Linked DNA regions of Caenorhabditis elegans. The protein of the gene in region 1 purifies or fractionates together with the protein of each later gene. This does not show direct contact. Each region holds a gene or a part of one and is shown in the gene's direction. Other genes may lie near its edges.

The links. Proteins that work in one complex are often made in the same cells at the same time.
Region 2: the proteins of ZK938.3 (region 1) and C48E7.6 fractionate together in Caenorhabditis elegans (co-fractionation; one large-scale study listed by BioGRID). This does not show direct contact.

The regions. Positions count from the first base shown.
Region 1 is NC_003280.10:9,830,548-9,836,007, reverse strand, and holds ZK938.3 (ATPase AAA-type core domain-containing protein), read left to right. Parts: upstream 1-2,052; coding exon 2,053-2,235; intron 2,236-2,276; coding exon 2,277-2,418; intron 2,419-2,463; coding exon 2,464-2,805; intron 2,806-2,860; coding exon 2,861-2,976; intron 2,977-3,138; coding exon 3,139-3,321; intron 3,322-3,374; coding exon 3,375-3,932; intron 3,933-3,990; coding exon 3,991-4,147; intron 4,148-4,190; coding exon 4,191-4,360; 3' UTR 4,361-4,487; downstream 4,488-5,460. Other genes in the region: arrd-5 (Arrestin C-terminal-like domain-containing protein), read right to left, coding at 1-39, 85-284, 329-404, 447-549, 600-787; ZK938.12 (uncharacterized protein), read right to left, coding at 4,508-4,675; ZK938.1 (Serine/threonine-protein phosphatase), read right to left, coding at 5,312-5,460.
Region 2 is NC_003279.8:6,233,593-6,239,274, forward strand, and holds the start of C48E7.6 (Chondroitin sulfate proteoglycan 4), read left to right. Parts: upstream 1-2,541; 5' UTR 2,542-2,619; coding exon 2,620-2,914; intron 2,915-4,196; coding exon 4,197-4,281; intron 4,282-4,981; exon of another isoform or gene 4,982-5,118; intron 5,119-5,564; coding exon 5,565-5,631; intron 5,632-5,682. Other genes in the region: col-56 (Col_cuticle_N domain-containing protein), read left to right, coding at 1-326, 374-450, 497-688; C48E7.7 (MS Related Protein), read left to right, coding at 1,193-1,272, 1,318-1,696.

The DNA.
Region 1 (5,460 bases):
ATTTTCTCCACACACGAATCCTTGTTTAGGAAGGCGGAGCTGAATATTATTGTGCTTATTTTCAGAGAATATTCCTCATTTTACCTCCATTCTCACAAGCCCATTCTTCCACAAAACTGCACCAAATTCTTCACAAACGTGCTTCTTTGATGGAACCTGAGAGTTGGGAATTAACCTCAGGTCAATATTTGGGAGCACGGTTAGGCAGGTGATAAACTTGTCGTCGAATTTCCATGGTCTATCGATTTCCACCTTTATAAAATATCGAATGAATCCAAGATCTCCTTAAATTGGAAAATGGATTAGATTTTAAATTTGAAAACAAAACCTTCAAAACTCGGTGGAGCCCAGTGAGGGAGTTGGAATGAAAACGGGAAGATGTGTGGGCCAGAAGGCATATCGTTCTGGAAAATATTAATTTTGTAGAATTACTATAATTATGCTACCTTTGCTCCATCACTTTTCCATACGATGGTCTCGAAGCGACAATACACAATTTTCCCCTTGTGATCTGCACAATTGTGTCGGACTCTAGCAATATCACCGTTTCTGAAAATGGTATCATTGAATTAGTGAGTTAACAAATGTCTAGAAGTTACTTGATTTTAGTGTGATTATTTCGAACATTTCCCTCCCAGTATGTGTATGCTTTTCCGATCATTTCCATTCGAACTTTTCGAGCTTTGAACTCGTCATCTGGTATTGTCATTTTCACATTTCCGGTGACTTTTTCTCCCGGAGAAAATACCGGAGGAGATTTAGCAAATTCCACCAAACAAGTGGCCATGATTCTGAAAAATGTTTCAAATATCATGATGTAGGGTGTAAGACGCGGTTTCGTAAATATCTAGGTTAAACTAAACCATTCTTAATTTGAATGTAAATTAAATACAATGCACTAGGATTTTTATTTGAGAAAAAAATCTTTGAAATACCAAAAATACATGTATTTTTGAAAAAAAAAAGTTGGCTCCCTAAAAAAACCTTGAGCAAAAACCAAGTTATTGGTAGTTCAAACCACAAAAAAAGGGGAGTGTCCTAATTAAAAGTTTTTGCTCAAATGAGCACATAATCAGGTTATGTGCTCTTTCCGTTTTTGTCAGATCTTCTAAAAAAGAACAAAAATGCAATTTCAGAGAACAAGACGAATAGGGGTGCATAAAATTGGAGCACGAAAAAATAAATTGATGTGTTCCATTTTTTCTCTGCCTAAAAATATACATTTTCTCCGCGAAATGGGACAAAAACGAAACAAAAAAGAGGGAAAGACGAAACTAAACCGGAAATTTGGTTGAAATTCGAGAGATTTTCAGCGGATTTTTCGGTGGTTTTTGGTTATCGCGGCACAGGAGAGGCATTTGATTTTATTTTCCTTCTGAAAACAGAGAAACGAGGAAAAAGAGCCCAAAAAATAATCAAATGAGCTTGACATGAGAAAGAGCACAGAGCAAAAACAATTTTCCCCATATCTTTTTTCGTTGATCAATGTTTTACTAGGGGCTCTCCATATTTACTCAACTCACGTATAATTTGATAAATGTAATGTGGGTTGATCGGTAGCAAGACATTATAAATCAAGAAGAAATTTATGAAATTCAACAATTCTTCATAGAGAAAATAAAAATGAGCACCTGCAAGTCTACATGGTAAGCGAAATTTTCCTTCAAAGTGATCCTTTTTTTTTGCCCAGAAAAAGTTTATCACTCGAGTCCATTTATTTTTCTTAACACACGTGCTTGTGGTACACAGCACAAGATATTAGTGACTGTGTGAAAAGTTCAAGGGCGTGTAATGGTCTGGGATTTTCATAAGTAGATTCGATTTTCCGTTAGACAAAAAGTGCCTTGCGTCGCCTTTTCTTAGTTTGAATTAAAAATATATTAAAAATCCAAATAGACTTCTTTATCTTTTCGAATTGTTTTCAACACATTTTTAGAATTTCTAGCACATTCTCTCTTTAACTTTCTTTCAACCTTCAATCCTAGCACAATTTCAATAATTTCAAAATTTTTTGAGACAATTTCAAGTTTATTTTCCGGTTCATTACACTTTATGTCGGTTTGCCCACTCCCCATTCTCAAGTTATTTTCAATTTACATCCGAATGTATTCTAAGCTCTATCCAACATCTCCAAAATTTTACGGAACACATCAGACAAAAGAACGGCTTTTGCATTTGGTAACTTTAATTTCTAGTCAGCTGAAACAACTGAATCGAGGTGAAAATGTCCCAAGGGTACGTTGACAATTCTAAACTAATCTATCAATATTGTTCAGACGAGAATGGTTTCAAATTTAGCTGGAAATGCTCGGAAGGACTTGATTTTTGAAATTTATCTAAATTTGATAAGCTTCTATAAAACTTCCGATCGAATGGTGTCTATTGAAGGTTCACAAACAAATTTGAAATGTCTTCTAGGTAAGAGCTGACTTCGCAAACTCACTTATAACTCAACAATTTCAGTATCTGCAAAAATGCTGAGTTCATTCTTCTTGGACGTCTTTACTAAAATTCCTACAACTCACATTGAAAGTGGGTTTGATGAGTTTTACATATCACACAGCTTCACTCAAGAAGACGTGGCAATAACTTCAACGTGGCGTATGATAAGCCAAGCTGCAATCGGACATCACGAGCATCATCTGGAAGTGAAAAGAGCATGTCAGGAACAGAAGGCATTTAGAGAATCATTTCTGAAAACGCAAACAGATTTTGATATTGATTTTGAAAATGCTGAAGCTGAACAAGAAACACAACTTTTGTCGATCGAATATGCTGTGCTCATTATACAAAAATTAGAGAGAAGTTGATATTATTTATTGGCTGTTATTCAACAATCGCTGTAAATATTAATTTTCAGAGTATCAAGCAATTTCTCGTAGAAACTATGTCCGTTTTGTTAGAGAACGAGCAGCGGAGCTTCATGGTCTGAAAGTCGAAATAGATGCGACGCAAGCGGCAATTAGGATTCAGGCGGTGAATTTAAATTTACTTTTCTTCAATGCTGTCATGACAGGCGCTCCTCTTTAGGCATATTGTCTCATGCCTACCTAGGTAGGCAGCCATTTCTGTGCCATGGTGGAAAGTCAACTTTACAAAAATCCGAATATTTCCTTTATTTCTATAGAATTTTTTCAGAGAACCCGTGGATACTTTGCTCGAAAGTTGGTTCGAGAAATGCGCGAAAAAGAGCTGAATATTCTGAATATGACTCCAGAAAGTTATATCCGAAAGAGATGTGCAGAGAGGGAGCGGAAAAGGAAGGAAGGTCTTGCTGGTGGCGTTGGTGGAGGGGAAATAATTGAACAAATTGAGGAGTTTGTGAGCCTTTATTTTTTGAAACAAAATTTTGATCTATTTTTTATTTATTTTAGAACACCGACTTAGCCGAAGCATTGAAACTTCTAAAGACACATTTCTTTTTCCCGACTTCCGATCTTACTGATATAAAACCATCTGCACTTCCGATTGATTTGAACAACCAGGAAACTATATTCAGAGATGCTTGCTTCCGTGGAATCGTATCCCCACTTGCACAAATTGAACTTTCAGAACTAACTTCCCAGAGGGAAATATGCAAAATTGAAAATCGGCAATTTAAATTTGATTTCCGCTCATTCCTTGTTCAAACCGTCTGTACTCCATGTTCACTTGGCACGTGGCAAAAACAAAAGTCGAAAGATCAGAAAATGCAGTGGCTATTGCTGTCAGGAGCTCCAGACTCGGGGAAGACTACGTGGGCGAGAGCAATATCGCGTGCATGTCATGTCACACACGTTCACATTTCGAAAAATGTCGTGAATATGGGAAAACGCAAAATTTATACGGTGGTTAAAAAGCTGGCAAAACAGGAAAAACGACTATTGGTCAGTATTGATCGAATTGACGTGATGAAGAAGGATCCCAAGCATAAAGGGTACACACATCGACAGGTACCGTACAAAAAACTATTATACTATGCACAATTGTTTTAAAAACACACGTTTACAGATACTTCTCCGAAACTTCCTATCCGATCTTTCGAATATAAAATTTGTTATGGTAATTGGGATGACAAGAGTTCCCCTGGACGACTTGGATAGTTATATTTCTGATTTATTCCCTCTCCAAGCAACTCTCAGTAACCCAACCAACGCAACTAGATACGGTAGGCCACATCAACTACAGTAATATAGTTTTCAAGTTTTCAGATCTTGCGGTAGATTGCTTAAGTCGGAACTGGGAACAAGAACGGCTGCCAAAGTTTCCAAATCGAATTTTTGACATCGAAAAGCAGACAAAAGATCAAACAAGAGGAAAAGCGGCAAAGTTTGTGACAAATCGATGGAGTGCCGCGAATAATAAGACAACTTTATCATAAAGTTGAAAACAACATTTTAATCATCTGGTTTTCTGGCACCAGTTTAGATTAATTCACTTAAAATATTCAATGAAATTAACTTTATTCAATAAATTACTTAAATTTAAATAAAATTACTTTATTATAATCATCATGGTATAAAGTGAATCAAGGACGAATTGGAGCAGGAACGTAGATTGGTGGCACCAATTTCATAGTGGGACGAGATGTGGTTGTTGGTGATTTCTTCATCGATTTGTAAATAGCCATATTGAAACCATTTACAAAATAATTACAAAAGATGAGAAAGAGAATTGGCACAAGGAAGAGCTTCATTTCTTGTTGGAAATGAATTGAACTTTGATTCTTGGACTGAATTTTTTATTCGTGGAAAGTTCACATTACTGTTCAAAAATTAAAACATTTATATTATGGACAACTCGAAAACTTATACAAATTACCAATACCTTATAGCATGATCAAAGTTCATACTTCTATTGCATCCTCTATAGGAAAACGTAGGAGATTTTGTGTTTTGCACAACAAATACCAAAAATTGAATATAACAACTGAATCCTTGCTACGCCCTTATAAAAACTGATGAAGCTCATTGACATTGGGAGGGTTTCAGACCTGGGAGCTCCAAAATGAATCCCTCGTTTCAAAACTGCAACAAAATATTTAAATGTCCATCTGCGTGAGCGGTTCGTAAGTTATGGGCCAACTATTTAACTGCTGACCCGCTCAGAAAAGGTTTTAACAGAAGGAAATAAAAGCATCGGCAAAGGCAGTTTGTAATTCTCCACACTTTCCTTTGATTTTATTTCGACTAAAGCTTTTAAGCTTTTAAAATTTAAAAGTAAATGTTGTTATCCACACATGAATATACATATATGTAAACATCATTGGTACACTGTGAAGTTTAAAACATTTATTTCGTTAGAATCAATCAATAGCTGCATAAATGGTTAGTTATCCTTTTTTAGACTTCGGTCCTCTGCTGCTCACGAGTATACTTCTGGTTGACTTGTTTTTGGCGGCTGCACGAGCTTGAATTTTTACTTCTCTCATGGCTGGCTTCAGGATCTCGAAGGAAATGATGAGCCGTTCGTCGACAATCA
Region 2 (5,682 bases), on another chromosome or scaffold:
AGACTATAATTATATGGAATTAATGACGGAGCACTGTATTTTGTGTCCTGCTGGACCACCAGGAGATCCAGGTATGGAAGGATCTGATGGTATTCCAGGACCGCCGGGCCTCATTGGCCCCCCAGGCCCGAATGGAGAATCTGGAGTAATTGGATCAGTTGGGGCTGCAGGAAGAGAAGGAACTCCTGGGAAACGAGGAATAGGTGGTGAAGAAGGAGAACCTGGTCTTATTGTAATGAAAATGATGAATACAAGAGGCCCAAAAGGTTCTGTAGGACCGCGAGGTCTTACTGGGCAACCTGGAATGCCTGGAAGAACAGTCAATGGTTGGCTTTCCTCCATGCTCACTTTTCTATTTAGTTCCCAATTTCAGCACCACCTGGATCGCCAGGTATCAGAGGACGTCCTGGTATGCCTGGTGCAAGTGGAAGGTCAGGAATCATTGGAAAGGTAGCTCAATATTTTTGAAGTTTTAATATATTGAGTCACGTTTCAGAGAGGAATCCACGGAGAGCCTGGACTCGACGCATCATATTGTCCCTGCCCACGCCGATCGTATCAAATGCAGAAAATGGTGGATCCAGCTCAAGAAAAGAAGTTTTCTTACGATTATTATGAATTTGAAGTCGCGAAATCGAGGAGAAATAGAAAATCGATTTGGAACAGAAGGAGAATCAAATATATTTAGTTTTTTATTATAACTTCATGAAGATTGTTATATTTTCTTTTTATCACTAACGCGGTATACTGGACCTATTTCATCTGACCCCCACAAATTTTGTGAGATTGAAAACGTAAAGTCATACTCCTGCTCGTGATGGATCCAATTTACTATCAATCCTGTTTGCCAGTCCTAATTAAATATAATTATAGAACATTTTCTTGGGTGGTTTTTGGGGTTCTCCGATAGTACTTATAAGGATACTTTCAGGTTGCTGTAGTGGTACATAACAGCTGGTTTGCTTTAATTGAAAAAAGCATCTGAATATGATTTTTTATTTTAATATAAATATTTTGAAGATAAACGTGAGCTTTTCCAATGTCCAATGAATACGTATTTCACGTAAAGGTCGATCAAACATCGAGATAAAAGTTGATGTGAAGATGAGAAAATTGAAATAAAATCAGTTCTCACTTGAACATTAACATTCGACTAACCATCATCTTGCAAACTTGCACCAAATCAATCGACATGCAATCAATCAACATCTTGTTCGCCATGCTCCTCATCTTGGCTCCAATTGTCAATGGAGACGATACTGCCGTTGCTGTGTGAGTTGTTCTCTATAATTACTCTTTTTTACTTTTCTATTCCAGGACTGCAACTAAAGTCACTGAAGATGCAACTGTGGCTCTCATCGAAACAACAGCCAAAGCCGTTGCAGAAACAGAACCAGCTACAGAACCAGTTCAAACCACCGAAGCTGTTGAAGAAACTACAGAAGCTGTTGTTGTAGAAGCCACTCAAGAGACTAAAGATGCTGAAACCAATGCTCCAGTTGATACTCCAGCTGCCAATAACATCGAAGCTACAACTGAAGGGGCTTCTCGTCCATCGCTTTCATCGACTGTTGCACCAAATGTAACTTCTGTTGATGACTTGCTCGGAGAAACTTCAACCAATGCCACAAAAGCTGCTTACAACACTGGAACCTTCTTTGTTGTCCCAATGGTCGTTCTCGCTTTGATTCAATGATTTGATTGATCTCTGTTGCTAACTTATACTAACTGAATAAAATATTATGTGATAACCAAGTTCTTCAAAAGTCTTTATTACATTAATCTATTGCAGTTAATAAAATAATATGTGATTATCGTAATATGTCTTTGTTTCTGAACTCAATCAAAGCTGTTCGGCTAAATTCTTATTCCATTCAGATTAGATTAAATTTAAGATGTGCTAACCATTAACCTCGCAGGATTTCAATTCAGGACAGGAAAGCAAGAAGCAGGGTGGTAGTCATGAAGTCGTGCCTTCATTTCAGAAATTAGGCATCTCTAAAGTTGATGAAGTTGGTTGAGAATTTGCGGGAAAGAGAAATAGTTCCAAACATGAGAAAATTACATATTACACAATTTTGTCGGTTCATCATCTTCCTCCAAAACCGAATAATCGTCTTTATCTGATTCGAAAAAAAAAACTTTATCAACCACTGGAAAACCTTTATTGTTGTCCCAATAGTGGCTTTCGCTTTGATTCAATGATTTGATCGATTTGTATTGCTCTCATACTAACTCAATAAAATATTATGTGATAACCAAGTTCTTCAAAATTTTTTATTCCATTAATCAAACAAGATTTCATGAAAAATCGCAATCTCTATCTTCCTGTCAACCGCAGTATACCTGTTAATAAATCTAATCATTATTATTATCATCTGATTCCTCATTTCTCTTTTTCTCTGTCTTTTTCATTCGTTCCTCAACCTTCTGCCAGCTTATGATGTACTATGTGTCAGTTGTTCCTCTTTCTTCTCCTTCCCTCATTTCCTCCCTCGAACCTCTTTGATGGGCGTGGCTTGAGCTTCTTTCTGTGTCTGAGACCAACATACTTCTTGCCTCTTTTACTGCCCACCAAAAACTTTCTCCATTTCAGTACAGTCTAGGCCAAATGTGCCGATGGCTTTTCTGGCACTGATATCACTTATCACATCTCCCCTAACTTTCGATCTACAAATCAACGGACCATCGGTTAATCCTGCACCAATTATATTGAGCACACCGTCCAAAAACTTATCATTATCATTTCACAATGGACACATCTACGCGGATTCGATTCCTGTATCAGCTATTTCTGAAAATGAGACTACATCATTCTCATTGAAATGTATTTCACATATTTCTTTACATTTTCAAAGTCCACATGCAAACTCTCTGGTTTATTCTCCAACATTGTGTTCAGCTCCAAATATCGGTAAGTTACCGAAAGAATTAACGAACGAATTACTTCCTGACTGTAAAAACAACCTTGAAATTTTTTGAAACATTATATCTAATTGTGAAATCAGTAGAAAAATCTGACTCATTTCGCTTTTTTTTACAAAATGATTGCTTCAAACTCTCCGATTTGCGTTTGAAAAAAGACTTTTGAATTACTGCTCATGTTTGCTGGTTGCCAGTTTCTCGATGTCGATGATGACAACAAAACGAGTTTCTGCAACTTGAAAAATTCTTCCTAAAATTAGAGATTTCAATCTTCCCTCCCCGATATTAAGTGAAAACCAATCTCATAAATCTGGAAAGACGCTTGCTGCAAGTGGCTAGAATAGTTTTTGTGCTAGAATCATAGCGGCTGCCTCAAAGCACACCAACAAAAAGAGCACTTTAGTCTTCTTTTCGGCTCCTTTTGGAAGCTGGAGCCGGCGCCGGAAATGAGCAAAAGAGTACTCTTTGGAGTATTCTGGAGCATCTCGGTATGTTGTTGTTGCTGTTCTCTATGTTTGTTCCGTAATAAACAATTGATGAAGATGAATGAATGAGAAAAGAAGAAGGAGATGGAGAGAGAGAGAGAGGAAGAAGCTTAAAAAGGAAAGAGAGTCATTGAAAATTCATCAGCAGATCATTCCGATGAACATGACATTTCAAATAGACCTAATAGAAATTTGTTAGCTTTTTTTGAAAATTGCTGAAAAGGACATACAAAGATTGTAAAACTTATTTTTTGAGTATGATTTCAGCATATTTTCAATTATTGCGCAAAATTGTTAAATTGAACTTTTCGAGTATTTGCACAACAGTTCCGTTTTTTTCTTTACCCTGAATTCTTCACAAAAATTGGGAGTTGGGGTTTGCAGCTAATTTTTTTAACTACCGAGTCAAAAAGTATAATAAGAAAACAATTTCTAAGAACTCGCTTCGAAGCCAAATCCCGCCATTTCTTCTTTTCCCGGTCAATAAAACTGTATTTTTTATCTCAAAATGTAGGCAGTAGATACCTCAAGATTCCCGGAAAAGTTTAACCCATTTCTTCAAAAAATCATAGTTGTTGGACTAATTAGCAAGTGTCAACACATGTGTCCTTCCATCATCCCTGTTTATACTTGCACTTGTTCACCACCAACCGACACATTTTGTAAATTATATGTTTTCTCTTCTTCTTCTTCATTTTTATGAGCCATGTGTTAGAAGAGGATGCTTGAGTTGAATAGAAAAATAAAAAATATTAAAATACAAAGTTGAATTCAAACAAATTGTAGGGCTCACAATAAACGAAACAGCGCTCAAAGGATGTATGTTTGATATCACTCAATCCAGCTCAATTTTGACTCAACGGATATGCGGGTGAGTTAAAACATTAAAAAAAGGAATTAGATCTGGATTTACCGTTTGAGCGTTTCTGTGTCAAAAGAAACGTTAACTATGTTCAATCTAGACTTTCATGAAGGTACAGGCATATTGTAGGCATTCAAGGCATGTGTATCCAATGGCGACCTTATCCATACTATCATGTGAAGAAAATTTGAAATTCACTGCAAGTAGGCGTAGGCTGCATTTAAGGGTTTCCTTGTAGAAAATATACAAACTGACACTTCTATTAATTTCTCAGGTTCCAATTTAGTTCAAAAAATCGGTGTACTTTTCACAAGACAAACAAACAGACAAAAATGTACGTGAAGGCAACATGTGTCTACTTTTAGTGACAACTCGACTGAAAATGTGTAGATCGTTTTCAGGCAGTATACATCTGCCTTATAGGTGTATATATCTTGAAGACTTTGACAATCAGACGTAACAAACATGTGTCCCTATCATTGAAACCATGAATAATGGGCGGTCTCGTTTTCACTCAATCATCAATCTGTCGTCCAGTCGGCAACTCTTTTTCCATTCCATTCTTCCAACATCTTGAAGCAATTTCTCTGCGACGAATCAAATCTCGCACTATTTTACCACATTATTATTATCCATATGTCTGCGTGTCCACATCATTTGGCACTGTTTCACTGGTTTAAAGTCAGTGATGACAGTGGAGTATCAAAAATTGAGAATCACGAAATAGTGCTGAATTGAGAGAGATTTAGGCAAAGAATGGGATACGCTGGATAGAGATGGAGACCACCAGAATTTGATACTTTGTGGCCGATAAAATTGGCACATTTGAGAGGGATTTATGGGGTGGCGAGGCAGTGGCAAAGAGTTGTTTGTTAGTAAAAAAGTCAGTGGTCACTGAAAAATAACCTGTGACTATAGGTAATGGGGGATATTGAATAAAAATAACAAATATGATAAAGTGAGGGACTTAAATGTTTTTCAGTTCATAGAAATCCGAAATAACTTTAATAACATCTATTTTAAAGAATGTTTAGGGAATTTTCCTAACTTACCCGTAAAGGCAAAATTTAGCAAGCCCATTTTTGAATGCATATCCTAAAGGTTCTGAAACTCAAACACATGATTTTACACTAATACGTTCAAAAATATATCGTAAAAAATGAGTTCGGGAGATGTCTATCAATATATATTTCGTTGACTGTGTTAAAATATTCAACACATTACCAACATGATATTAAAATTATTTGCAACATTTTCAACATGCGTTAAAAATTCTGCCTTCCAATTTCCAGAATCGACTCAAAAAATGCGGCAAAAAATCCAGAAAAAGGACCGATTTATGTGGCGGAGCCAGTAGAGGTAAGATTAATCTTTTACTCTGATGGAGAAGTATGGGACCGATTAATATAC